7 linked regions of the Cricetulus griseus genome follow. The protein of the gene in region 2 interacts with the protein of the main gene of each other region in a pairwise test. Links are inferred from orthologs where the notes say so. Each region holds a gene or a part of one and is shown on either strand. Other genes may lie near its edges. The genes, in order: Fam124b, Trim37, Copb1, Fam107a, Mcm10, Pnkp and Prc1.

Region 1 (4,038 bases), on a different chromosome or scaffold from region 2:
GTGTTATTACTTCACACACTGAAGTAAGGGGAGTTCTGGCCATTTCCCAAGGACAGACACTATGGGACATTTGCTTTGACTCCCATGTATCTCCTCAACATTTACAAGCACAGTGACTGCCGCCACCCTGCCCATGCCCCATGCCTCACCTTTGTGGTGCCACCATTTGTCAAACGGACTTTGAGACCTGATAGAAACACATCCTTTGGACAAATAAATGTTCCTCAGTCTTCTCATTTATAACAGGATCGGTAATGACTTCATAGATTGTTAAAAGGATTTAAAATATTAGTGATTGGAAAATCTCATATTATACAGTGTATAATATGCACAACAGCAGTTAAAATACAATGATGTGTGTTCATGAGTGTTATGTCATTTCATGAAGAGTAACATTCTTTGTGTAGGAAGATGCCAGTATCACCTTCATTGAGCTAAGGTCACAACAACTACTAAGTGCTAAAGCTTAGCTGCCACATCATACGCCGTAAGGGACAGCACGTGGCAGCCATCATGATTAGGTAAACACCTGGCTGTGTTTAGCTTCAGTAGGATGACTGAAAAGGGTGGCTCTCAGATTTTCTTTTGAAGGCATTCTGGGTGTTGAACTTGATTTGTGCTTAAATTTGACAGTGGTAGAAAATGCTGCAAGGGGAAGCTACTAGTATTGCCAACCTAACATTCCCAAACACCATTACACCTTAGGCCTGTGGAAAGAGCTCATGACGGTGTTGCTGTAGCCTTGATCAGGAACCTGGAAGGAACCTTTGCTACTTCATAAACCTTCCGGCTCTTCCAGTGGAACATTTCCTCAGTGTGCTCTTCATAACACTTTGGGCTTTCCTCCTTCTCCATGGCTCCCTCTCTGCTACATGGCTAACAGCATGCTCTCTCTCTCTCTCTCTCTCTCTCTCTCTCTCTCTCTCTCTCTCTCTTCCTTATCTCTCTCTCCCCTGGCAGATGCTGAGATTTACAGCTTGCCTGAACTGAATTTCTTCCTCTTCCTCTACATCTCCTTTTGAACTCCAAGAAATTTGTCCTTGAGTTTCCTCCTGAGTCCATCCTTAAATTCCTTTATTAATGAGACTAAAAACCATAAGGGGAGAGCTCCATTACCCTAGTAACATGCACAAATCTGACTCGACACTCCAAATTTCCCAGTAATATTATTACTGAATCTAAATGGACAAAGTGTGTATGGATGTGTGACAGACATGGAAAAGGGAATTCTGGGGAGGGAGCATCACCTGACTCTCGGGCTTTTCAGCTACAAGTTCACACAAGTCAGGTATTTCTTACCTGTCACATGAGGAACTTGTATATTTTGAAGTCTGTGACTGTCAGCTGCAGTATATATAAGAATCATACAATAAACTCTTTTATCCTTTTGTAAGAAACTCTCTGGGTCTCCCCAGACTTTCTGGTCTAGTGGGACTGTGGTGCAGCTTAGCATGAACAAGTCTTAAAACCTCCCCAGTCTCTAACTCTGCAATCAGGTTGAAGACCACTGACTAAAGCACCTCTAGAGACCACCCAGATATAGCATCACACCTTTCCATTTCCTGACAGGGATGAGGCCATTTAAAAAAAAAAAAAAAAAAAGTACTTGTGCCCCTCCCTTTGGCTATCAGACTAATGACACAATGGATCCCAAGAAATTCAAACTTCCCCAGGAATCTCATGCTGCAGGGGAGTGGGGGGGAAGCTGGGGCCCTGATGGCAGCCAGGGGGGGAGCTTGACTCCCAGAAAGATTTCAGGAGAGGTTGAAGCTAAGACAATGATGATGGATAATAATGGGACCACACCCACCCCAGGACTGCATAGTTAGGTATGCATAAGTCTTCATATCAGGGGCAGGAGCCCCTGGACCTTTTAATTTGCTCTTCTCCCAATGTATCTGCTTTGAGTAACTCTGTTTTCTTGGTCTTTTACTATTATTCATCTGTTTAATTGGCCTACTGAGGATTGATGGCCAAGTCTAGCTTGTTGGAGTTTCCAGGGCCCTGGCTCTGACCCTACCAACTCTGGTAACTCTAGTACACACCAGAAACGTAAGAAATGAAATACCTGCAGCAGAATCTTGTTGCCATCATAGTCCTGAGTCTGCCACCTGGTGCTGCTGATGGGAATACACGGATTGGGTAGAAGAGGCACCAGTTGGCCGATCTCTTGAACCTTAAATTGCAGCACAGAAGACTCTTTGGGGTCCACTGGCATTCCCAGGGGCAGCTGCTTCAGAGAGAGCTGCAGGCTGAAGCCCTCGGTGGCATAGAGAACAAAGAAACAGAAGTTGCTCTTCTGCACGGTGGCGTCTCTCTGTAGGATCATCTCATATAGCCGGATGGCATCCTCATAGTTATCAAAACTGCAGTACAGAGTCACTCTGAGGGTATCAGTGCCACAGTGCACCGGCCTCATGCCCCACACTGGCATCTGGTGGTGCAGGCTGTAGAATTCCTGATTGGCGGGAAGATAGGGACAAGGCCTCCCCTGTGCATGCTGGGTAGGGAAACCCTGCCAGGGTGAGTGCTGTAGGAAGTCCAAGACTCTAAACAGCCGCTCCTGTCCAAGGCTTTCCTGAAGAAACAGCAAAACAGACATCCCAGGGAAGCGGGCCCTCCGGGGGTGGTACTTTTCATGGTAATTCACTGGTCTGGCCCGTTCAGACACTAGGAAGAGACGCACCTCTGGGCAGATACAGTCCAGGAGCTGGTCCAGAGCCTGCTGCAGAAGCGAGCCGTTTCCAGTGTCAGCAAGAAGGTGCACAGTCAAGGCTAGAGACTCCTGTGTCTCATCCATGGCAGGCCTAGGTGAAGATGATGGTCACCCAGCACGGTCCACTGTTCAGCCTTCTAAGTTGAACCAAGGTCTCATACGGAGCCTCCTAGAAAAACTTCAGCATCTTCTGAACCAAGCTCTTAATCAGATCACACATGCTCCTGGCTTCCTCCGATGCTCCAGCAGGAAATGTGGACTTTGCTACACACAACAGCGGTAGCTCCATGTCATCTGTTCTGGGCAGATGTAACTATTTGCTTGGCATTTTCAGGCATTCCCTGGGGTTTCTGTTTGACCTAAAAACCTATAATGCTGAGAACCACGCCAGTGGGTGGTTCTTACATTCAACTCGGTAGAGGAAATGACCAGGCCGAGAGGAACAGGAGGCGGCTCTGTTGCACTGATAGCCATCTGTAGCTCTGTAACACTGAAGAGAGATCCATTTGGTGGGCCACAATGGGCTCTGACTTCCTACTTAAATATCCTGATGTTTACAGTGGCCGCCAGGCCTCCTGAATAGGACGCCTTCTTTAAAGCCACTCCCAGTCTTGTCTGCTTGCCAGAGCCTTCAGCCACCATTGCTTTTATTTCATTTTTGATCATTTTCTGCTAGGTCACAAAAAAGAGATATTTTGTCTACATAGTGTTGGCCTCATTGAAAACTATTTGTCTGGCTGGACTAATAGCCTGGATGCACTAAAATGACATTAAGAAACTAGGTTGCCTTTGGTTCGTGTAAATTTGTAGACAGTGAGCTTTCCTGTTGCAGTAATTCTGATGTCTTCCTATTGAGGATCTGTTGATAAACTATCCGAAAACTTTAGAAAAATTGACTTAATCAGCCAACAAGCCTACAAAGAAGAGAGTATTTATCCCCCATTTGCTGACGAGAAACTGAGGCATAGAAAAAAAATCAGGTAAATTGTCCAAACTAACACAGTGACGTGTCAGGGGAGAGATTTGAAAGATCGGAAGGGCCCATAGTCTCTAGAGCTGGGAAGGCCAGCCACAGTTGATTGTTTTGTTTGTTTGTTTTCTTGAGGTGAGGAAAGGCTGCCATGTCAACTTCTAGTTGACACATTTACCTGTGGATACAGGCTAATGAATCTTAAACAGAATATCACACAGTTGACATAATCACCTAATCTGTTCCCAAATCTTTAGTAGTCAGGCATAGAAACAAATACCAGTAATCCTAGGATTCAGGAGATGGCTACAGGGGGATTACTGTGAGCTCAAGGCCAGTTGGGTAGAAGCCA
Region 2 (3,500 bases):
AAAAGCCCAAGTGTAGAAGGGTGTTCCCTTTTGTGTTTTATTAAAAGGTATCCATGTCATTGGGGGCATGCCTTTGAAGAGCACACTAGACACTATACTCTTCCAAGTCTAGGCTATGAGGTGACTGGTTTGCCTCATGAAACACTTCTATCATATTGTGGTGCTTTACCACAACCACATACATCAAGCAATGGGTTGTTGTACCATGAACTGTAACCTCCAAAATTAGGAACCAGATTCTTTACAAATTGACTATCTCAGGCAATTGTTACAGGAACAGAAAACAAGTAATAAAGCAACTTGAAGGAAGATGGGACAAGTTACAGTCCACCATTGCTGGAAAGTCAAGGCAGAAATTAGACCAAGTAATCATATCCAAATTCAAAAGCAGACAGAATGGATGCACGCACCCATGTATACCTGCACTCAGTTCACTGTCTCATTTATACAGCCCAGGACTCAAACCCAGAGAATGGTATTACCCTGAATTGGCAGGCCTTCCCATCTCAACAAACATAATCAAGATAGTCCCCCACAAGACATACCCATAGGCTCCCCTAATACACAAGCTCTAGCTGGTGAGACTGCCTTCCTAGTCGATTCTACAATAAAAACTAACCACCAAATACAAACAATTTATTTATTTTTATCTATGATTTTATACTGTTGTGGAATGATCTTTTTGCTCACTATGAAGATGTGTTGCTCTCATTGGTTTAATAAAAAAACTAAATGGCCAACAGATGGGCAGGAAGAGGTTAGGCAGAACTTGTGGACCAGAAGAGAGTGCTGGGATGAAGAAGGGCAGAGTTGCCCAGAGACTCAGGAGAAGCAAGATGAGCATGCCATAGTGAGAAAAGGCACTGAGCCACATGATAGAATGTAGGTAAGAAATATAGGTTAATTTAAGTTGTAACAGCTAGTTAGTAACAAGCCTAAGCTATTGGCTGAGCATTTATAATTAAAGTCTCTGTGTGGTTATTTGGGAGATGGCTAGCAGGACAGAAAATTCCGCCAACATTATACCTGAAGTAAGAAAATAGTATTAATAGTTAACTGCACCAGCTTCTAATTCTAGTCAATGATGTTCATGTATGAGAAGGCAGAACTGAACACTAAATCACTATTCTAAGTGCATACTGCCTAGTTAGTATTCATAGGAAAACATTAGAAAAGCTTTGGAAATATTTTCTTTGACTGATGCATAAACTTCTGGTCATTCCTGAAAATTAGATTTTACTATTGGTGCCATTAAGATAAAAATAGGAAAAAATTTCTATTTCCCTTTTAATGAACAAATAAATATATAAACATATCTACCTTGATTATATATTTATTTAGAGTTACAGAAAAGCCAGGTGTGGTAGCACACACCTTTAATCTCAGAACTTGAGAAGCAGAGACAGATGCATATATGAATTCAAGGCCAGCCTGGTCTACATAGGAAGTTCCAGGACTGCCAAGGATATCTAAGAGAGACTCTGTCTCAAAAAACAAAACAAAAAACAGAGGTACAGAAAACCCTTAACTTTCTAACAAGTATGTAAAATTTGTATCAAAATCTTAAACAAAATTAGCAAAAAAAAAAAAAAAAGTAGAAAAGGACTAATTGGGAAGAGGAAGAGAATTAGCAGGGAGTAGGAGGGTTCAAAAAAAGGTAGGGGGTAAATATGATCAAAACTGTCGTACATAAAACACACGTATAAAAATGTCATTAAAAAATAAGACTATTTCTTCATTAGAAAAAAATGGCAGTTTTCTTCCTTTTCCTTTCTTCCTCTCTCCCTCCCTCTGCCCTCCCTCCCTCCTTTCTTTTTTTCTTTCTCTGAGACAGTATCTTACATAGTCTTGGCAAATCTTGAATTTCCTAGGTAGACAAGTATGAACTTAAACTCCAGATCTTCTACTTCTGCCACCTAAGTGTTGGGATTACGGTATGTACCATCACATCTGGCCATTTTCACTGTTGTTCCCCTACTTTCTAACATGATTTTATCAGAAACTGAAAGGTGCTTTGTAAAGTTAAGCTTGTAAAATCATGCACTGAAGTATTATACTGTCAAACAGGGAAAAAAGAAAATATAAACCACTTAATGCCCACACTTTTTTCAGATAAACTCGGTATTCAGATTTAAGTTATGAGTTCTATGCAGAGGCTGAAGGCAATTTAATGAGTGTACTTGCTAGCCCAACACCACTCTGTGATTCTTCACATGAAGTCAACTATGGAACTATCTACCTGTAACATATTACCACCATAAAATTTCAGGTTTGGAGGCATTTTGGATTTTTAGTTAGCTATGTTCAAACTATAAATCACACTTAAAAGAAAAAAAAAATTTTTGAGACTAGGTCTCTTGTAAGCCAGATTGGCTACAGACCTGTCATGTCGCCTAGACTGGTCTTGACCTCATGCTCTTTCTGGCTTTACATCTCAGATAGTAGAATTACAGGAATGGGTCATCAATATTTTCCTTTTTAATGGAATCAATAACTAGGTATCAAACCATTTTTTTACTTTTATTATACATCTAACAACATGAAACTCCTGAAATCAAAGTTACACTAGTGTGAATTTCAATATTTATGTTTGTTAAATGAATAAACTTTGAAACAGAGTTCTGATGACATTATTGCCCCCCCCCCCAATTTAAGTCCAATATCAAATACCTCAAATTACCTTAAAATCACTGTATCATTTTGTCTGTTCAAGTACCCTTCATTTGCAAGTAAGTCCAAACGGAAAAATCTGTTATAGCCCCAGCACTCGCCAACTTCAAAGTCAGATGCAAATTCTCGAATGATATTTTTGGTAGGATCGTTGCAAGTCTGGTGAACCATTTCTACACGATATTCATACCTAAAATACAGACACCATTAGTATAGTCAGCAAAGTAAAGATAACTAATTACACAAAAATAAAATTGTTATTCCAGCCAAACTCCTTTCAGAAAAGATATTATTTACAGAAACAGAAGTATTTCAGATGGGCCAACTGCCTTAGTTTGAGTTACTATTGCTGTGATTAAAAACTACAACAAAAGCAATTTGGGGAGGAAAGGGAGTACTTGGAAGATGAAGGCAGAAATATCGTGAGCTCAAGGACATCCCTGGCTATATCAAGTTTAACACCAGCCTGGCTATAACTCCCTCATTTAAAAACAATAACAAAAAAGACGGGAAAAGTGGAGTAGAGGAGGACTTTCTTCCCTAAAACAGAAGTTACTCTGTGTCATAGTTAGGGTTACTATTGTTATAATGAAACACCATGACCAAAAACAAGTTGGGGAGGAAAAGGTTTATATGGCTTGCACTTCCACACCACAGTCTATCACTGAAGGAAGTCAGGACAGGAACTAAGCAGGATTGGAACTTGGAGGGAAAAGATGATACAGAGGCCATAGGGAGTTACATACTGGCTTGCTGCTACTCATGGCTTGCTCAGCCTGCTTTCTTATAGAACTACCTGCCCAGGGATGGCACCACCCATAAGGACTGGA
Region 3 (3,500 bases), on a different chromosome or scaffold from region 2:
TCAAACCCAGCTCCTCTGGAAGAGCAGCCAGTGCTCCTAACTGCTAAGCCATTTGTCCAGCTCTGATTTTATGATAGAAACAATTATGGTAGCATTGTACTTATTCTGTACTTCTATCTGCCTTTGAATTTTAGACCCAGAAGATTTTTTTTTTTGGCTTTCCTCCCTCATTTCTTTTTTTTTCTCTTTATTATTATTATTATTATTATTATTACTATTACTATTATTATTATTATTATTAATTCAAGTTAGGGAACAGGCTTGTTTCACATGTAATTCCCCTCTCCCTCTCCCTCCCCTCACCCCCATTCCTTCTCCCCCAGACCCAGAAGATTTTTAATACCATTAATTTCCCAGTATTCATAATACTTAAAATTATAGATTTCTTTTCATAAAATATCAAAAAAAATTTGTTCTGTTTGTTTTCTTGAGACAGGGTTTTTCTGTGTAGTCCTGTCTTATAACTCTTTGTAGACCAGGCTGGCATCGAACTCAGAGATCCGCCTGCCTCTGCCTCCCAAGTGCTGGGATTAAAGGCATGTGCCACCACCACCTAGTTCCATAAAATATTTTATAGTGAATAATTTTTATCCTTGGTTAAACTTCCTTTTTATTATAAATAATATATCCTAAATTCTAATCGGTGGCTACTGATTCAACATTTTAGTTTTTATTCAGTTGTTCAGATGGACAAGAAAAGAAAGTGTCTAAAGTTACATGAATATTGAGGACCCTTTTAAAAATTTTAATAAAGGTCACTCTGTTCATGCTACCCTTTTTAAAAAATGGCTATAACTGAGAAAATGCACATAAAATGTGTTATTTTGAGTTTAAAGGATTTACTTTGGTTTTTTTGTTTTTTGGTATTGGTGGGGGACACATCTGTTAAAGTCATGTGGTTTAGCAATATAGGTTCAGGAACCACATTAACTAAATTGGTCAGGGACCAGAAGACTAATCTAGTACCCTCAAATCCTGTGTAAGGCATCTGAGATTCAGAGACAAAATATTCAAACATTTCATTTGGATTTGTAACCTTATTACCAAAGCTGATAGTAAATTTAGTTTGTTTTGCTCATAGCCTTTTTAAACTATCCGAGGAACTTGGTTTTGAAATAATTATGCTTTTTTTGTTTTTTTAAATGATTGAATCAGAGAAAGGTGATGTGAAGTCCAAGACTGAAGCTTTGAAGAAAGTAATCATTATGATTCTGAATGGTGAGAAGCTCCCTGGACTCCTGATGACTATCATCCGTTTTGTGCTGCCACTCCAGGATCACACCATCAAAAAGTTGCTTCTTGTGTTCTGGGAAATTGTTCCTAAAACAACTCCAGATGGAAGACTTTTACATGAGATGATTCTTGTGTGTGATGCGTATAGAAAAGTAAGCCAAATCATAACTGTGCTTTGTTATTTTTGTAGTTATAAAATTGCTCTAATAGATACTTTTTTAGCTTTCAAAAATGAGATCTTTGATGTGATGAGAAATTGTAAATATTTATTATTGAAGTGTGTTCAGCCTATGGCAATAGGTTTAGGCTGCATGAGGTGGGGATAGCTGTGAATGCTGCTCAACATAAAAACCTAACATGCTATTTGATTCTTTTTGGTGGATTTAGGGCTGGGGGTTTTATTTGGTTTTATTTTTCTTGGTTTTTATTTTTCTCAATAGTTAACATAACTATTGAGTTAGTCTCAGTATGAACTTTTAGATGACAGTTTTATTGTAATGTTAAAAGATTGGATACACCTGTAAAATTTATGATAAACATTTTGTATTGTTGCCTTTTCCTATATTTTCTGTGTTATTAAAAAAAATGGTGAAATACATAAAAATGACTTTAGAGGAATCAGAAGAAAACCAGTAATCTAGATCTTTTCCCTAAAAGTAACTTTAATTTTTTCAAATTAGAAAGTATTATGTTTAAATCTTGATTTTTATAAAAGGCTGACTCTTAGGCTTATGAGATGGCTCATCAAGTAAAGTACTTGCTGCCAAGCCTGATAACCCAAGTGTGGTCCCCAGGACCCACAAGGTGCAAGGAGAGAATGTATTCTTGCAAGTTGTCCTTTGACCTCTGCAGAGTTTTCAAATACACACACACACACACACACACACACACACACACACACACACACACACACACACACAAATAAATAATTAAATGTAAGGGTTTTTAAAGCTGAAACTCAATGTTTCCTACTGTAATTTTTATATCAGGATCTTCAGCATCCTAATGAGTTTATTCGAGGATCAACTCTTCGTTTCCTTTGCAAATTGAAGGAAGCAGAATTGTTAGAACCTTTAATGCCCGCTATCCGTGCTTGTTTAGAACATCGTCACAGCTATGTTAGGAGAAACGCTGTTCTAGCAATCTACACTATCTACAGGTAAGGAAAGATATTCCTTTGCTTTATTTCTATTTTAAATGCTTTAGACTAGAGGTTCCAGCGTGGTTGGTTGCAGAATGTATGTACTTGTAAATGATGCATGGTTAGGGTGTTCCCTACAGTGACCATCATTCCTAATTGTGTTGTTGCAGTTCATTTAGTTCATATATCTTTACTTGCTAAAGGCATTGCATTTTTTTACCTTGTTTTAAAATTCTAATTTTGAACAGTATGGGTCTTGTATTAGAAGCTTTGAGGAAGGAACTCTTTTAATGAAAAAGGCTGCAGTTCTTAACTAATTCTTGTTATTATAACAGTTGAAAATTTAGTCTGGACGAGTGGTGCAGGGAGCCTGAGTCAGGAGGATGAGAGTCTGAGGCCAGTCTGGGCAACTTAATGAGTCTCTACAAATAGAAAAGGTTGGGGACATGCCTCAGTGAGTGAGTGTTTATTTAGCAGGAACAAGGCCTTGAAACAGTCATTAGAGTAAAATAATAAAGCTGGAGATTTTGAACTTTAAAACAATTGTAAGATTCAGAGGAGGCTAAAGTGCTAAATTGTTATAGTCATGGCTCTCAGTCCGTGTAAGTTATGGGGCTGGTGGTAGAGCTCAGAAGCAGAGTCCTTGCCTAGAATGAGTGAGGGTGGTCCTGGGTTGGATTCCTAGTACTGCCAGTTTAACATACAGTATATATCATATATTTTGTGTCTGTGCATGTGTGTGCACCTGCATGTTTGTATAAGCATCTATGTATGTTCAGGCTAGAGAACTACATTAGGTACTGTTTCTCAGGCACCATCAACCTTTAACTTTGACACAAGGTCTCTCAGTGGCTAAGAACTCACCACATAGTCTAGGCTGGCTCACCAGAGAGCCGCAGATATCTTTTTGTTAGTCATGTTCTCAGAGTACACATCATCAAGCCTGACTTTTTTTCCTCCCTCGCTCCCTTCCTCCCTTTGTGTGTTAACACCTTGGCTATCCTGGAACTCCCTTTGTGGACCTAGCTGGCTTCAAACTCACAGAACTCTGCCTTCCTTTGCCTCATAGAGTGCTGAGATTAAAGGCATTTGCCATCACGCCCAGCTTAGGGTTTTATTTGTTTGT
Region 4 (3,316 bases), on a different chromosome or scaffold from region 2:
TTTCCCACCTGGCCACAGCCTGCTGTGGCCTCCATGGCCTTCCTTGCAGCAGACAAAGCGTCTCTTCTTTGCTCTGTGAGTTCAAGACATTCTTGGCCTCAGGTCAAGCTTGAGCTGAGATACTCCCAACACTAGGAGCTGGGCTGCTCCCAAAGCAGGGGCCTGTTGGGAAGCTAAGGCAGAATGTAGGGACACTGGCCCTCCTTTCCACTTCTGCTAGGGAAGCTTACTAGTGGGTCCGATCAGGAAAGGCACCTGGGGAGGTCTTTCCTGGTAGTGGCTTCCTCTTAGCACTGGAAGGCTAGGTGCTCAGAAGGAGAAGTCCATACAGAGATTTTCCTGCGGGTTGCGGGGTATGGGTTGGAAGGGATGAGGTCCCGGAGATAGCCAGCCTCTCATGTCTGCCTTGCTGGCATCACCGTGTGTCAGGGCCTTCTGGTTCAGGAGGGCTGGAGGAGGTCTGGGCCAGATTGAGTGGCAGGAGCTGAGTGTAGAGAATTTTACAGTGCTCTCTCCTCCGTGGCAATTCTGCGCAGGTTTTCTCGGACTTTGATGAACTCAGGAGCATGGGCCTCTTCTCTCTGTGGTGGGTTTTCCAGCTGGAGGAGAGAGACACCTGTGAATTTCGCAGGGCTGGGGGGCCTCCCATTTTCAAAAGCCATGGTGTTGGACCAAAGGTTTTGTCAGTGGGAAAGCAGAAGCACCCTGGGGTGGGTTTTACCAACCATCCCAAAGTGGTAGTGGTGGTGGCTGTAGGTTGTATCAGGAGAGTAGATGCTTGAGAGAGTCATCAGGATTAACATAAAAACAAAACAAAAAAACACCCCACCCTCACTTCAGGAAACATCAAAACAGTATGCTTGAGGAAATGCCACCTGTTGTAATTTAAGAAAAGCAGCTCTGGAGAGAAGACACCAAGCAACAGGGTTCAAGCAGAGATTTTGTTTTGTTTTGTTTTAATTAGGGAAAGGGATCATAAAAGGGGGAAAGGGGAGGGGGGAGACCAGCCTCTGGGGACAGGAGCAGTGGGAGAGAGGAAAGAGGAAAGAAGAGAGGGGGGTAGTGAGGGAGGAAGCAAGGGAGGGGTGGGGGAGAGAGAGAGAGAGAGAGAGAGAGAGAGAGAGAGAGAGAGAGAGAGAGAGGGAGAGGAGACGGAGAGGGAGAGGGAGAGGGAGAGGGAGAGGGAGAGGGAGGGAGGGAGGAAGGGAGGGAGGGAGGGAGGGACATACAGCTAGAGAAAGAGGAGGATGGGAAGTGGGCAGGGTCCTTTTAAAAGGGAACATAGTGAATGTGCACAGGTGGTGCTCTTAGTGGCTGAAGCTGAGGACATACCCTGTCAGAACCCCAAGGACAGGACAGTACAGATGCCTGAATACTAACACCACCATCTTTGAATATGGACAGGGGGTGGGGTGATGTATAAATGACCTCATAAGGGTCAGGCTGCTTGCAGCCTGGGGTTCTGAGCCCTGGACCTGTTCGAGCTCTCTAACCCACATCCATTTGTAAGTGCTTTCCTCTTCCTTAATGAACTTCATCTATGCCACTATGCATGTCTTCGCCAATTCTCCCAGGACACAAGAACCTGGAAATCTTAGTGGATACCCTCTGTACCCACACGGGAACAGAGTAAGAGACCGGGTTCTCCTTGGGAAGCCTGGTTCAAATCACTTATTCCTCTGGCCTCAGACCCCCACCTCTAAAAAAGAAATGGCCTCTGCTCTCACAGGGGATCTAACTTTCAGATATGGATCTCACAGGAAAGCAGGGTCAGAGAAGTGAAGTCATTGCTAGTGTCGCACAGCAGGCCAGAGGTAGATTCCTGGTGCTGTGCTGACCTTCCCTTGGGGCCTTGGAGGAGGCTTAGATGGAGCTGCTGCTACCTCCTACCCACCTGATTCAGTCTCTGCTGTCTTCTCAGCAACTCCTGCTTGAAAGGGCACTGAAGCCTCTTAGCCTCCAGCTCCTCCTCCTTCTTCTTGATCAGTTGATTCCGGCGTCGGTGCTCCAGGACCCGCTGCAACTCAGGCTTGCTGTCTACACCCAAGCCCCTGGGGAGGTGGGAGCTATCAGGAGACACCCTTTCCCACCTTCCCAGTCTGGGCAGCAGTTTACAGGGATGCCCAATGGCCATTTTCTCTTACAGTGCTTGGGCAACACTGGAGGGGGTGACCTCACTGTCCAACGCTATAGAGAGAGGCAAAGAGCCACTGCCTCCAGAATAACAAGGCAGGTTGCAGCTACAACAGAATTTCAGCCCAGGCCACAGAGACCTGGTGACATGTGGTTGCTTTATATTTTACCAGAGCTTCTGGAGGTGGAAATGCTGAGCTGGGCTCTCTTGAAATCTCCTGGCAGTTAATTTCCTTACAAGGACAACTATTTATTCCCATTCTCCAAGACAATTATTATTATTATTATTATTATTATTATCATTATTGTTATTATTATTAAGTCTAGGAGACAAGAAACAATGCCCAGTTTTCATGTTTCCTTGATTATCAGTCACATGCAATAGTCTTTAAAATGTTTCTAGCATTTGCATTTCCCCTTTTGCAAATTCACTCTTTTTTTTTCCTTGTAGACTAAGGTACATGAATATGTTAATATTTATATTGTATATGTAATTTTCAATATAATTTATTAATATTGCAAATATTTCAGTTTGTTTGAAGCTGTTTTTTCATTGTGGTGATATTTTTGATACTTTTAATGAATGAACACTACAAAAAAACTACTTAGGACATGATAATATTACAATATTAAGTGAGCACAAACCCGCAAACAGCCCAGAGTGTAAGGGGTATCTGTTGTATGTTGGTCTCAGAATGGAAATCACAACCAGCTCCAATACAACTGGCCAGCAGAGGACTCCATGAAGGCCGCACCACCACCTTCAGCCTGGGCCATGTGAGCAGAATCCTCATAGAGGCTCCTCAACCACCCTGTCCTATATTTGACATGCTGTGATTGTTGATTGCAGACATGCCATTCCCCAGATTCCCCCTTGGCTCTTCTGCTTCACTGCTATCCTCTTGCCCAATAGGGGAACATGGCTGTGAGAGAACCGTCACTGCCTGATTCCTCAGCAACATCTGTGTGCTCTCTAATTCTCTCTGCTGGCACAACCTATCTCCCACCAAGACAGCTCCCGTCCCTGCTTTAGGCCATTCAGGAATCATCTCTTCCATGAATTCATTTATGCCCACATGCCTCTAAATCCTCCATCAATGCACACCCTGTCCTGCCTGATATTCTTCCACTCTCCTCTGGGAGGGCAGGAACTGGGCCTCCTTTTTTTGTATCCTAACTGAGG
Region 5 (3,500 bases), on a different chromosome or scaffold from region 2:
CACATCTCCTAATCCTTCTCAAAATAGCTCAACCAACTTTGTACCTAACGTTCAGATATATGAATCCATGGGGGCAATTTTTACTCTAACTACCACAATGAGTTTTGCCTTATACTGAATATCTCTGGAGCAGAATACTGTGTCTCCCCACACTGGAAGGGGAATAGTATTCATTGGTTACTGATCCTGGGTAGGGGGCTCTGAACAGCTTGGTGTTTTCTGCTAGAATTCCCTGATCTGGCGGGAAGTTTTACACAAACTCTGCTACCAGAGTGTGAATCCAGTTAGGCAAAGCAATTGTAGATAGGGTCCAAGAATCAATAAAAGCCTGTACTTCTTGGGGGCTCGTCCCTCTAAGTCTCAGGAGAACTGTCCAGGGTAGATGGAGTATTACCTGTGGCCAAGTTTGCTCCTGACTAGCTGGGGGATTCAGAAGCTTTCTGATATGGATTTTGTTACCTAGTAACTACTGAACCTTCTGATCTCAAAGAAACAAGGACAGTTAAGGACATTCCTTCTTATCTCAGCCTGTATTCTTGATAGGTCTGCCTGAGAATTGGCAGTAGAGAATGGGAAAGCTGAGTCAGCCAAGATCACGCAGAGACTGCCCTTCTGGCCTCTTTCCACCATTGGTGGCAAGATGAAGGAGAGTGAGCCAGCCTGTGTCTCTTTTTAGTGGGAAATCAAGTTTCCCTATCAATTCTTGTTTCATTCTAATTTGCCAGGCCTTGGTCATATGACCATTGTTGGCTTTAAGGAATGCTGGGAAAACAGAAGGCTACATCCATTGTCTGAGGCTGAGCACTTGGCCAGCCTGGACAGTCAGGATTCCAGCAACTAAGGGAAGGGAAAAGTGGTTAGAGAGACGGGAGCTGAATGAGTCTTCCCCATTCTACAACTGCATAGAGCTTTGGCTTCAAAAATGTCTCCCAGAATCAGCTGCAGACACCCCTTCACCCATCTTATAATAAAGGCCTTTAGCACTTGCGTAATCTCTCTCACACAGGTGTGCTTATCTATTGATCATCCTCAAAAAGTCTTAATTATGGGAGAAGCTATGGACCTGGGAACCTGTAAAGCCAAGAAGAAGAATGGAGAGCCATGTACACAGATTGTTAATTTGGTGAGTCTCAAATCTGTTAGTCTGGTTTTTGCCTATGAAAAGAATCAATCATGACGGATAGACTTTGGGTGCTGGAGTGGTGATGAGCAAACGGAAGCTCTGAAATTCACAAGGTCTCATCTTGCACATAGTGTTGTGAGGCTGGGAGAAATGGGCTCACTGCTTCCCGTCACTGCCCCCAGCCTGCTGACTGAGTCCTCACCGGGTGTTTGTCCTTGCAGCATGATTGTGAGTACTGCCAGTATCACATCCAGGCCCAGTACAAGAAGCTTAGCGCAAAGCGATCAGATCTGCAGTCCACTTTCTCTGGGGGGCGGATTCCAAAGAAGTTCCGCAAAGGCACCAGCCTGAAAGAGCGACTGTGCCAAGATGGTTTCTACTACGGCGGGGTTTCTTCTGAATCCTTTGCAGCGTCCATGTAAGGCATTTCTCGGGGCTGCTTTTGGGAAAGGGTTTTGCTTGTCTCTTAAGAAGAAGCTGGTGGTTGAACTGTTCTGTAACTGTTGTACATGAGCTTCATTTTTCATAGCTGAAGCCAGAGTAGTTAAGGAGGCCTTTCATTCGCAGGGAGAGAGGCATACGTTCAGAATGAATGGGAAGTGATTCATGTTGTGATCTGAATATAGAGCCCATACTTTATGTTTAGCCAGATGTGGTGGCCCACACGTGCAAGCTCTGCAGAGACTGAGGCAGAAAGAGCATGAATCCATGGCCAGCCTAAGCTATATAGGGAGAACCTGTCCCAAGTGGAGAAAACAGTCTGGAGAGATGGCTTGACCATTAAGAGTGCATGCTGTTTGGTAGAGGGCCTGAATTTGCTTCCCTGTACCCAGGTCAGGTGGCTTGCAACCGCTGTAACTTCAGCTTCCGGAAATCTCATGCTCTTTTCTTGAGCTCTCTGGGTACTGCACTCACTGTGCACAAACCTGCACTCAGACACATGCATATACACATAAAAAAAAAAAAGTTAAAATAAAACTATTTTTAAAAGTGAAAAAACAATCGCCAGGTGGTGGTGGTGGTGGTGGTGGTGGTGGTGGTGCGCACCTTTAATCCCAGCACTCGGGAGGCAGAGGAAGGCGGATCTCTGAGTTCGGGGCCAGCCTGGTCTCCAGAGCAAGTGCCAGGATAGGCTCCAAAGCTACCCAGAGAAACACCCCCACCCCCCCACCCCGTCTCAAAAAACCAGAAAAAAAAAAAAAGAGGTGGAGGCAGTAAGATCAGGACTCTGTGCCCAGCTGTGGCAAAATTTCAGGCCAGCTTAGGGCATATGAATTCCTGTAGCAAAACAAAAAGGTGCATTAACATCCATTGAGTTGTTACCTTTATTGTTATTTGTTGTTACTATTATGTGTGATGAAGCTCACACAGAGGTGGGACAGATGTTCATGGCCCTCTACTGGGATCCTAGACTGTCTAAGGAACCCCAAAGCAGATAGATGATGTATGGCCTTGTCATCTTACCATAATGTCATCTGAGCATGTGTCAGATGAGAACATGTACAAAGGAATTGTGGTTGATCTAAAAACAAACAAACAAAAAATTGTTTCTCATTTTACTGAATTAGGCAAAGACTTTTGCACTTTCTGTATATTTAGTAGTATCTCTTTAATCATCACTTTTAGTAGCTATAGAGTATCTTTTATATGGTTATTTTAAATATTCCCTGTTGATGAGTACTAATGGCATCTCTAACGATGTTGTAGTTTTTTTGAGACAGGATTTCATGTAGTTCAGGCTGGCTTGAACCCAACATACAGTCAAGCCTGCCCTTGAATTCCTGAACCTTCTGCCTCCATCTCCCTAGTGCTGGGATTTGTACATGCCACCCTGCCCAGTTTCTAATAATTACAAAATACTAAACTTTAGCAGCCATTAAATATTTTAAGACAAATTCTTAGGCTTTTGTATCACAGTACTGACATTTTTTGAAGTTTCTGGCCCTTTGGCAAGGCCTCAAGCAAATCTGTAGGTTGCCTGTTCTCCATCTGTGCTTTGGTATACAAACCAGAACTACTGGGTTACTGAGTTACGGCTAGCAAAGCCTGCTTGTATGAGACTTGAGGAATTTGGCCAATTGGTAACAAATGCATATGAATCCTCATGGTTTGTTTGTGAAAACATTGAAGTTCAGTAACTTTCTGATCTGGTGCCTCTGTCATTTCAGGGCAGCAGCTATTGCTCCTAAGAAGAAGGTTCAAACCACTTTGACCAATCTGGTTGTGAAGGGCACAAACTCAATCATCCAGGAAACAAAACAAAAACTCGGTAACTTTTTCTGCACCCATCCTCTGTCTCCAGTGGATGCAGTATTTAGGATTGGGAATGGTTAGGCTTGCTTCTACTCTCCAGTGATGAATGGCTACTCATCGCCTG
Region 6 (4,037 bases), on a different chromosome or scaffold from region 2:
TGCTGTCTCAGAGGAGTGAAGGCCAGCCCCGTGGCGCACATCTGCCATTCAAGCAACAGGGAGATGGGTTTAGTAGTCACAGGAGTTAACATCAATTCTGCCTCAAAGAACAAACCAAAGCCAGGCATAGTAGCACACACTTTTAATCCCAGCACTTGGGAGGCAGAAGCAGGCGGAAGTGTTTTGAGGTCAGCCTGGTCTGCCAAGCAAGTTCCAGGATACCAGGGCTACACAGAGAAACACCTTATCCCCCCCAAAAAAAAAAAAAAAATCAATGGCCAGCTGTGGTGGCACGTGCTTATTTTGGTTGTTTTTTGTTTTTCTAGAGATGGTTTCTCTGTGTATCTGACTGTTCAGGAACTCAACTGTAGAACAAGCTGACCCTGAACTCAGATCCTCCTGCCTCTGCCTCCCAAATACTGATATTAAAAGCAAGCGTTACTGTTGGGCGGTGGAGTCCCACGCCTTTAATAACAGCACTCAGGAGACCGGCAGATCTCTCAAGTTCGAGGCCAGCTAGGGTGTTGTGGTGGACTAACATCCAAGCCAAATAATTCGACTGTGCTGAAGATAAGTCCAGTTGGGCTTGTTGACAGCAGGTTTCGCCCATAGAAGGAGGGGGCAAGGAAGGTCATGGGACTTCACCCGCGTTCCCTGCTGTTCCTCACAAGCAGCTATGTAGCTGGGGCCTAGGCAGGGGCTAGAAAATATAGGCAAGGAAGAGGTAGGGGAAAAGACTATCTGTGCAGCGTGGGATAGGTGTGGCCTTTGCAGGTAGCACCACACACAAGTAAGTAAACCCTGTAGGCCCAGTAAATTCACTGGTTCCCCAGAATCATCTCTGATGGAATCATATTTCGGTCTACCCTTCAGACGTAGAAGGGTAGACATTGTGACACTGTTTAGGTCTTCATCCGGAAAGCACTTTTGTTTTTGGAGGTGGGGACAGGATCCCATTGTAGTACTGACTGACCTGGAGCTTGTTATGGAGACCAGGCTGGCCTCAAACTCGGAGATCCGCCTTCCTCTGCCTCCTGAGTGCGGGGATTAGACAGGTACGCCACTACACCCGGGAAGTAACTTTAACAACACGGCTACATCCTGAGACCCTATCTCACCAAAACAGAACAAAACCAAGTAACTGCAGCCTAGGGACCCAAACGCCCCCTAGCAACACGCAAGCGGGTCAGGAGCGGCGCGCGCGCTATGGGAGGAGCCAAACCTTCCGAGTCTTTCCCACAACAGTGGTGAGTCTCGGAATGAATTCCGAAGTAATCCCGACCTTAAACTATCCTCTCTAGCTACTTATGGAACTGCTGTGGTAGCCTGGGAAACGTTGAACCCGCCCATGGGCAAGGGGCGGATTTCCGGAGCGGCTCTAGTGGGAAGGCAGGACTTCCGGTAGCGGACCGTAGCTGGCTGCCCAGCGAGTTCGCCTTCGCCACATCCCGGGATGTCACAGCTGGGATCTCGGGGCCGTCTGTGGCTGCAGAGCCCCACCGAGGGACCGCCCCCTATCTTCCTGCCGTCGGACGGCCAAGCCCTGGTTCTCGGTCGGGGACCCCTGACCCAGGTGACGGACCGGAAGTGCTCCCGAAATCAAGGTGGGCGCGGGAGTGAAACTACGGCATCAAGAGCTGCAGGGAAACCTGTGCCTAACCTGGAGTTAGACAGGGCTTTCGGGGAGGGACAGAGCGGATCCGGGAGATTGTCACCGGGTGGAGGAGGATGCTCGCAGCAAAGAGACGCCTCTGGGCAGGATCTATCAGGCCATGCCCAAGACCTAGGTCTACTCAGTGTGTCTTATGGAGCAAGCCGACCCTACAGATTTAAAAAATCGTAGGTCCCGGTCCTATCGAGAGATAAACTGTTTCGGGCCGGGGGTGACACACACCTGTCATCCAGGCACTTGGCTGGTAGAAGTTTAAGGTCAGCCACCAGTGTGTGGCGACTTCTAGGCTACCCTGGGCTACTTGAGGCCCTGTGTTGGGGAAGGGAGGAAAGTGCCTTTTCCTTCGGAAGTGCAAGACGAAGTCTATAGCTGGCCACGCCCCATATGTGATGTAAACCCTGACTCCATCCCCTTACCCTCAGTGGAGCTGATTGCAGACCCTGAGACCCGGACAGTGGCAGTGAAACAGGTACCAGTGTCTCAGCAACGAGTAGCAAGGACTTGGGGTAAGGGGTCGGGGTGGGCCGCAACCCTTCAGAAGGTTAGTAGGTATTCCCTTTTCCACCGTGCCAAACTGGACTCCTTGTGACCTTTCAAAGTTCTGATTGGTAGCATGCAATGAATAGGTGGGAGATTAAGGTCTGACTGGGAGATGGGGTATTGGAATTGGTGGGGAAGCAAGTGTTCCCTGAGGAGTTGGAGCCGACCTTGGTTCCTCCTTTCTTCGCAGCTGGGTGTTAACCCATCAACTGTTGGGGTCCAGGAATTGAAGCCAGGGTTGTCAGGCTCTCTAAGCTTGGGGGATAGCCTGTATCTGGTCAATGGCCTATACCCCCTGACCCTGCGTTGGGAAGAGATTAGCACAACGGGATCCCAGCCAGATACTCCACCAGGCACTCCTCCTTCGGATCCAGTGGACAGGGAGGATGCTGAGCCTCAGAAAAAGCGGAGACGGAAATCATCCCCTGGCTGGGAGAGCTTAAAGAAGTTACTGGTGTTCACAGCATCTGGGGTAGAGTCCCGGGGCAAGGTGAGGCCACAGTCCTGCCGCTTAATACAGAGTTTGCTGTGCAGCCCTGGGCTAGTCTTATCAAAGTCTCTGAGTCTCAGCTGTTTGTTGTGAACAGAGACTGAGGTGCAGGATACAGATCAGGCCCTGTAATCAGTGATGATCAGACCTTTCTTGGATGTGTTTATGGGTTACTCTGAAATGATTAGGCCACAGAAAGTTTGGGGTCTAGTCCCTGGTTGGGCACTCAGTCAACAGAGAGTTTTGAATTTAAATTTTTATTCATTTATTTATGTGAGCCTGCTTGATTTTATGTGTACCACATGTATACAGATGCCTGCAGAGGCCAGAGAGCATTGGGTTCCCTAGAGCTGAAGTTACAGGCAGTTGTGAGCCACCTGATGTGTGTGCTCTGAGCCACTGAGTCTTCTTTTCAGCTCTTCCAACAAAGACGGTTGCTCTTTCTGAGCTGATAATCTTCCAAGAGATGCTCAGGGAAAAGGGGAGGGTGGGACACAGGTCTCCATTAAAGACTGGAAAGTGGGGAGCAGAGGACACAGGAGCAGTGAGGTACTGCTCTCCTGCCTCACTCATGCACACCCTGCAATAGGAGTGTCAAAGGGCCGGTGTCAACTGTGGGGAGAGTCCCTGTTGACACAGGGGAGTACCAAACACAGTACTGCTGTCCCTGTGTTTGGTGATACCAGGTGGCTGCCTTTGACCTAGATGGGACTCTCATCACCACTCGTTCTGGAAAGGTCTTCCCCACTAGCCCTAGTGACTGGAGGTGAGGTGGTGCCTGGCAAGAGGGTGGGAGCTCAGGTCCTCTAGGTTATAAGTCATTGCTGCTTCCCACCGACCTTAGGATTCTGTACCCAGGGATTCCAAAGAAGCTCCAAGAGCTGGATGCTGAGGGGTACAAGGTATGTGTGTGTGTGTATTCTCTAGACTCCAAGAACTACAAGGTGCGGGGCCTATGTGCATGTGTGTGCATGAACACATGCATGTTTGTGTAGAGTTCAGGCTGAGCTGTGGTGTGGTGAGCGCCAGTGTGTCCTTGTCTATCCCCAGCTGGTAATCTTCACCAACCAAATGGGCATTGGGCGAGGGAAGCTGCCGGCAGAGGTGTTCAAGGCCAAGGTGGAGGCTGTGTTGGAGAAGCTGGGGGTCCCATTTCAGGTACAGCCAGGGACACTGAGGGGCTGTGTGGGACAGGGACCCAAAGAGAACATGCCAAGGTGTGGAATGGAGGCCTTGGCTGGGGTTGTGCTGACAGAAATGACCTTGGAAGTCCTAAGCACAAGGACAGTGTAACTTGGCCACCTCAATAGGTGCTGGTGGCAACTCATGCAGGTC
Region 7 (3,500 bases), on a different chromosome or scaffold from region 2:
CCCAGAACCCACATGGTAGAAGAATAAAACCAACTCAAGGAAGTTGTCCCCTGACCTCTACATGCCAATGGCATGTGCACAACCACACACCCACAATAAATTAAAAAAAAAAAAAAATCATACCACTAACAATAAAGATCTCATGTTTTAAGAACTTTATAACTTTTTTTAAATCTACTTTTATAAATTTAACTTTATTACTGTTGTTTGTGTATAGTAGGGGAACATGCACTTTGCCATGACATGAATATGACAGTCACAAGACAGCTTTATGAAGTTGATTCTTTCCACTCATTCTTAGGTGGGTTCTGGAGATTGAACTCAGGTCAGCAGGCTTTTACATGATAAATGCTTTATCCACTGATATCATCTTATTGGCCTGATCTCTTCTTACTCACCAATATCAGAGGTTAAAACTAGGACATTGCTGGGCGTTGGTGGCGCACGCCTTTAATCCCAGCACTTAGGAGGCAGAGGCAGGAGGATCTCTGTGAATTCAAGGCCAGCCTGGTCTACACAACGAGTGCCAGGATAGGCTCCAAAACTACAGAGAAACCCTGTCTCGAAAAACAAAACAAAACAAAAAGCCAAAACAAACTAGGACATCATGTTAGTCAAACTTCTACCACTGAACTGCATCCACAGTGGTTAGATTAGTTTTATATCAATTTACAGGTTGGACATTTGTGTATGATGGTGCCCAACTCTAGGCAGTGTTTTGTGTGTATGTATAATAACCAAGTGTAAGCTACAATTTCCAGTAACTGAATTGGATCAATTGTACAATTTTCTAAAATTTATGATGGCTTTATTAGGATGTAAGTCTAAGTTAAGAAGCAATTGTAAAAATAGCTGTGTAATCATCATGTCACCTAGCTAACTCCAGAACTCATCTCATCTTGCAAAACTGAAATCATTTTTGGCAAAAGGTCCTCATTTTATGCTCCCACCAATCCAATCTATTTTGTTGAGTCTGACTGTTTTAAACACCAGAATACTTTTGCAATACGTGGATCAGAAAGCTTACTTTGGTTAGCTAGAAGATGATATATCTAGTTCTTATTAATAGAATACTTACACTAAAAGTCCTATGAACATCTCTTTACCAATAACAATCAATTTAGGCCGGGCGTTGGTGGCACACGCCTTTAATCCCAACACTTGGGAGGCAGAGGCAGGCGGATCTCTGTGAGTTCGAGGCCAGCCAGGTCTATAAGAGCTAGTTCCAGAACAGCCTCCAAAACAATACAGAGAAACCCTGTCTCAAAAAACAAACAAACAAAAAAACCAATCAATTTAGTAGATCCTGCTCTATTCCTAGTAGATTAAGAAGGGAATAGAGTGGTTGGTAATTATATGTTCTACAAATAATATAGTTTCATTTAGCATTGTTAAAAACTTGCCATATATTCAAGGAAGACAGATGTACCAGTGTAGTCCCAACTTCTCATATACCTAATTTCACATTGAGAGTTTAAGAAAAAAAGAGAAATTTTATGTAGCAAATCCACGTCATTTATGTTAATCTCCGGAAACTGCTCTAACGTCATGGTCTGCTTGAATGCTCTTGACTGCCAGGGATCAATTTTCCTTACCCTTCAAAGGTGGTAAGTTTTTCCTTTAACAGTAAATGGAACATGAGAACCGTCATCATTCCTTTTCAAAGCTTCCTATGTGTCCCAACTTTTCAGAACCATTCTGGATGGTTCAGTGGTATGCAGTTTTTGATTATTAAAAGAACCACAAAGGTTGAATTTTGTTTGGTACTCCTCCTTTGTATCACTAGGTATCCTTGCCTCCTATGTACCCACTTTATTCTGTGGGGTGGATAGCAGCACATACATATATGTGAACAAATGGATGGAAGACGGAGATCAACTTTTGGGTAATACTGTACAGCTTGTTTTTTGTTCTAAAGAATTACTAATAAGGGTATAAGCTTCTCTCCTGCATGTATTTAAGTGTACTGCATGTGAACCTGGTACTCTAGACTGAAGTCACTAGAGGGTGCTGGACCCCCTGGAGTTGGAGTTCAGGACAGTTGTAAGCCACCACATGTGCTGGGAACTGAAACCAGCTCCTATGCAAGAGCACCACATGTTCTCAACTGCTGAGTCTTTGTCCAGCTGCTATCTTGTTTTAAGTTTGTGTTTTTGAGACAAGGTCTCTCATTGGTTTGAAGCTTAAGCCTCAGAGATCCACCTATCTCTGCCCCTGCCCCCCAGTGCTGAAGTTACAAGCATATGCCACCATTATTTTTTTCCCCTTGAGACAAAGTTTCTCTGTGATGCCCTGGCTGTCCTGGAACTCACTCTGTAGGCCAGGCTGACCTTGAATTTTCAGAGATCCGCTTGCCTCTGCCTCCCAAGAGCTGGGATTAAAGGCGTGAGCCATTATGGCCTGGCAATCTGGCTTTTTTGCAAGGTTTATGAGGCTTGAATTCAGGTTCTCATGCCTATGAGGGAAGGACTTTACCAATTAACCCATTTCTTCAATGTCCCCCTACCCGCCTCTTTCAAACAAAGATTCATGCCACTTTTCCCCTCAAAATTAAAACATTATTATGCTCTATAAAACTGAAATACAGCAAGAAGTGTTTGATAACCTATTAGCTATTTCATGTCAATAGGGTAACTATCTTTCACATTTCTCGAGTCTATCTCCCCTCCAAGAACGCTTTCCATTTACATTGCTAAGTTAAAACATAGTCATCTGTCTCAGACCCCAACCCACCCCCCAAACACTCTGTATTGCCACACCTGAAATGGCTTCACTTGTAACTCATTGCACAGGGTACTCAGCTCCTTCTGACAGAAGGATATGCTTTTGAGAAGCCGTTCCCTCAGGCTCTCCTCTTCAGCAATCATCCTATCCAGAAGATCCTGTGTGAGAGAAAACAGTTGGTAAAGGTTTGGCGCCACTGAGAATAAAACAAAACACAACAAAACCAATTAGCATCTCAAAACTCACATAATTTCAAATTTTGCAGAAGAAGCTTTAAATAAAACCAGGAAGAGTCTGTGATATCCTTGTCTGAACGACCAAATGTTATTATTTTTATTATCTATTATTATGTGTGAGGAATGCAAATGCCATAGAGTAAGTGTAAGGAGAGAAGACAACTTTATGGACTCAATTCTCCCTGTATACCTTATATGGATGGAGCTCAGGTCTTAGGCTTATATCATGGAGTTGCAGATGTCTTTACCTACTAAGTCACCTATCCAAGTCCCCAAATATCACTCTGTCTGATGTCTCAACAAGGCAGCAACATCCCTACCTCCTGGTCTCACTGCAGAAAGACCAGTACCACTCAACTCACCTTGATATGCTTCTTCACAACCTCGGTTCTTTGTAATCTCTGTTCCTCTGGAATCCCAATTAATTCCCATATTTCCCGAAGGTGAATCAGAGCTTTCTGGAGGCATACGATGGACTCCTCTGCTAGCACTTCACTGAAAATCAATATAAAACCATTTTACTTATAATAGCTAGCATCA

What was found.
Region 1: the proteins of Trim37 (region 2) and Fam124b interact in a two-hybrid assay, tested with the Homo sapiens proteins (2 studies listed by BioGRID and IntAct). The link is inferred for Cricetulus griseus from reciprocal best matches to the Homo sapiens genes TRIM37 and FAM124B.
Region 3: the proteins of Trim37 (region 2) and Copb1 interact in binary tests that used the Homo sapiens proteins (3 or more experiments, as listed by UniProt). The two-hybrid records come from large-scale screens. The link is inferred for Cricetulus griseus from reciprocal best matches to the Homo sapiens genes TRIM37 and COPB1.
Region 4: the proteins of Trim37 (region 2) and Fam107a interact in binary tests that used the Homo sapiens proteins (3 or more experiments, as listed by UniProt). The two-hybrid records come from large-scale screens. The link is inferred for Cricetulus griseus from reciprocal best matches to the Homo sapiens genes TRIM37 and FAM107A.
Region 5: the proteins of Trim37 (region 2) and Mcm10 interact in a two-hybrid assay, tested with the Homo sapiens proteins (2 studies listed by BioGRID and IntAct). The link is inferred for Cricetulus griseus from reciprocal best matches to the Homo sapiens genes TRIM37 and MCM10.
Region 6: the proteins of Trim37 (region 2) and Pnkp interact in binary tests that used the Homo sapiens proteins (3 or more experiments, as listed by UniProt). The two-hybrid records come from large-scale screens. The link is inferred for Cricetulus griseus from reciprocal best matches to the Homo sapiens genes TRIM37 and PNKP.
Region 7: the proteins of Trim37 (region 2) and Prc1 interact in binary tests that used the Homo sapiens proteins (3 or more experiments, as listed by UniProt). The link is inferred for Cricetulus griseus from reciprocal best matches to the Homo sapiens genes TRIM37 and PRC1.

What each region holds. Positions count from the first base shown.
Region 1 is NC_048595.1:432,859,175-432,863,212, forward strand, and holds the start of Fam124b (protein FAM124B), read right to left. Parts: upstream 2,801-4,038; coding exon 2,069-2,800; intron 1-2,068.
Region 2 is NC_048600.1:100,408,839-100,412,338, reverse strand, and holds part of Trim37 (E3 ubiquitin-protein ligase TRIM37), read right to left. Parts: intron 2,861-3,500; coding exon 2,681-2,860; intron 1-2,680. UniProt on the Homo sapiens protein: E3 ubiquitin-protein ligase required to prevent centriole reduplication. Probably acts by ubiquitinating positive regulators of centriole reduplication.
Region 3 is NC_048596.1:86,412,877-86,416,376, forward strand, and holds part of Copb1 (coatomer subunit beta), read left to right. Parts: intron 1-1,155; coding exon 1,156-1,385; intron 1,386-2,222; coding exon 2,223-2,392; intron 2,393-3,500. UniProt on the Homo sapiens protein: The coatomer is a cytosolic protein complex that binds to dilysine motifs and reversibly associates with Golgi non-clathrin-coated vesicles, which further mediate biosynthetic protein transport from the ER, via the Golgi up to the trans Golgi network.
Region 4 is NW_023276807.1:166,689,486-166,692,801, forward strand, and holds the end of Fam107a (actin-associated protein FAM107A), read right to left. Parts: intron 2,052-3,316; coding exon 1,895-2,051; intron 600-1,894; coding exon 501-599; downstream 1-500. UniProt on the Homo sapiens protein: Stress-inducible actin-binding protein that plays a role in synaptic and cognitive functions by modulating actin filamentous (F-actin) dynamics. Mediates polymerization of globular actin to F-actin. Also binds to, stabilizes and bundles F-actin.
Region 5 is NC_048596.1:222,201,145-222,204,644, reverse strand, and holds part of Mcm10 (protein MCM10 homolog), read left to right. Parts: intron 1-1,006; coding exon 1,007-1,123; intron 1,124-1,344; coding exon 1,345-1,541; intron 1,542-3,291; coding exon 3,292-3,392; intron 3,393-3,500. UniProt on the Homo sapiens protein: Acts as a replication initiation factor that brings together the MCM2-7 helicase and the DNA polymerase alpha/primase complex in order to initiate DNA replication. Additionally, plays a role in preventing DNA damage during replication.
Region 6 is NC_048599.1:153,694,222-153,698,258, forward strand, and holds the start of Pnkp (bifunctional polynucleotide phosphatase/kinase), read left to right. Parts: upstream 1-1,237; 5' UTR 1,238-1,453; coding exon 1,454-1,604; intron 1,605-2,094; coding exon 2,095-2,141; intron 2,142-2,402; coding exon 2,403-2,702; intron 2,703-3,388; coding exon 3,389-3,468; intron 3,469-3,546; coding exon 3,547-3,604; intron 3,605-3,752; coding exon 3,753-3,860; intron 3,861-4,012; coding exon 4,013-4,037. UniProt on the Homo sapiens protein: Plays a key role in the repair of DNA damage, functioning as part of both the non-homologous end-joining (NHEJ) and base excision repair (BER) pathways.
Region 7 is NC_048596.1:117,306,059-117,309,558, forward strand, and holds part of Prc1 (protein regulator of cytokinesis 1), read right to left. Parts: intron 3,456-3,500; coding exon 3,323-3,455; intron 2,883-3,322; coding exon 2,760-2,882; intron 1-2,759. UniProt on the Homo sapiens protein: Key regulator of cytokinesis that cross-links antiparrallel microtubules at an average distance of 35 nM. Essential for controlling the spatiotemporal formation of the midzone and successful cytokinesis.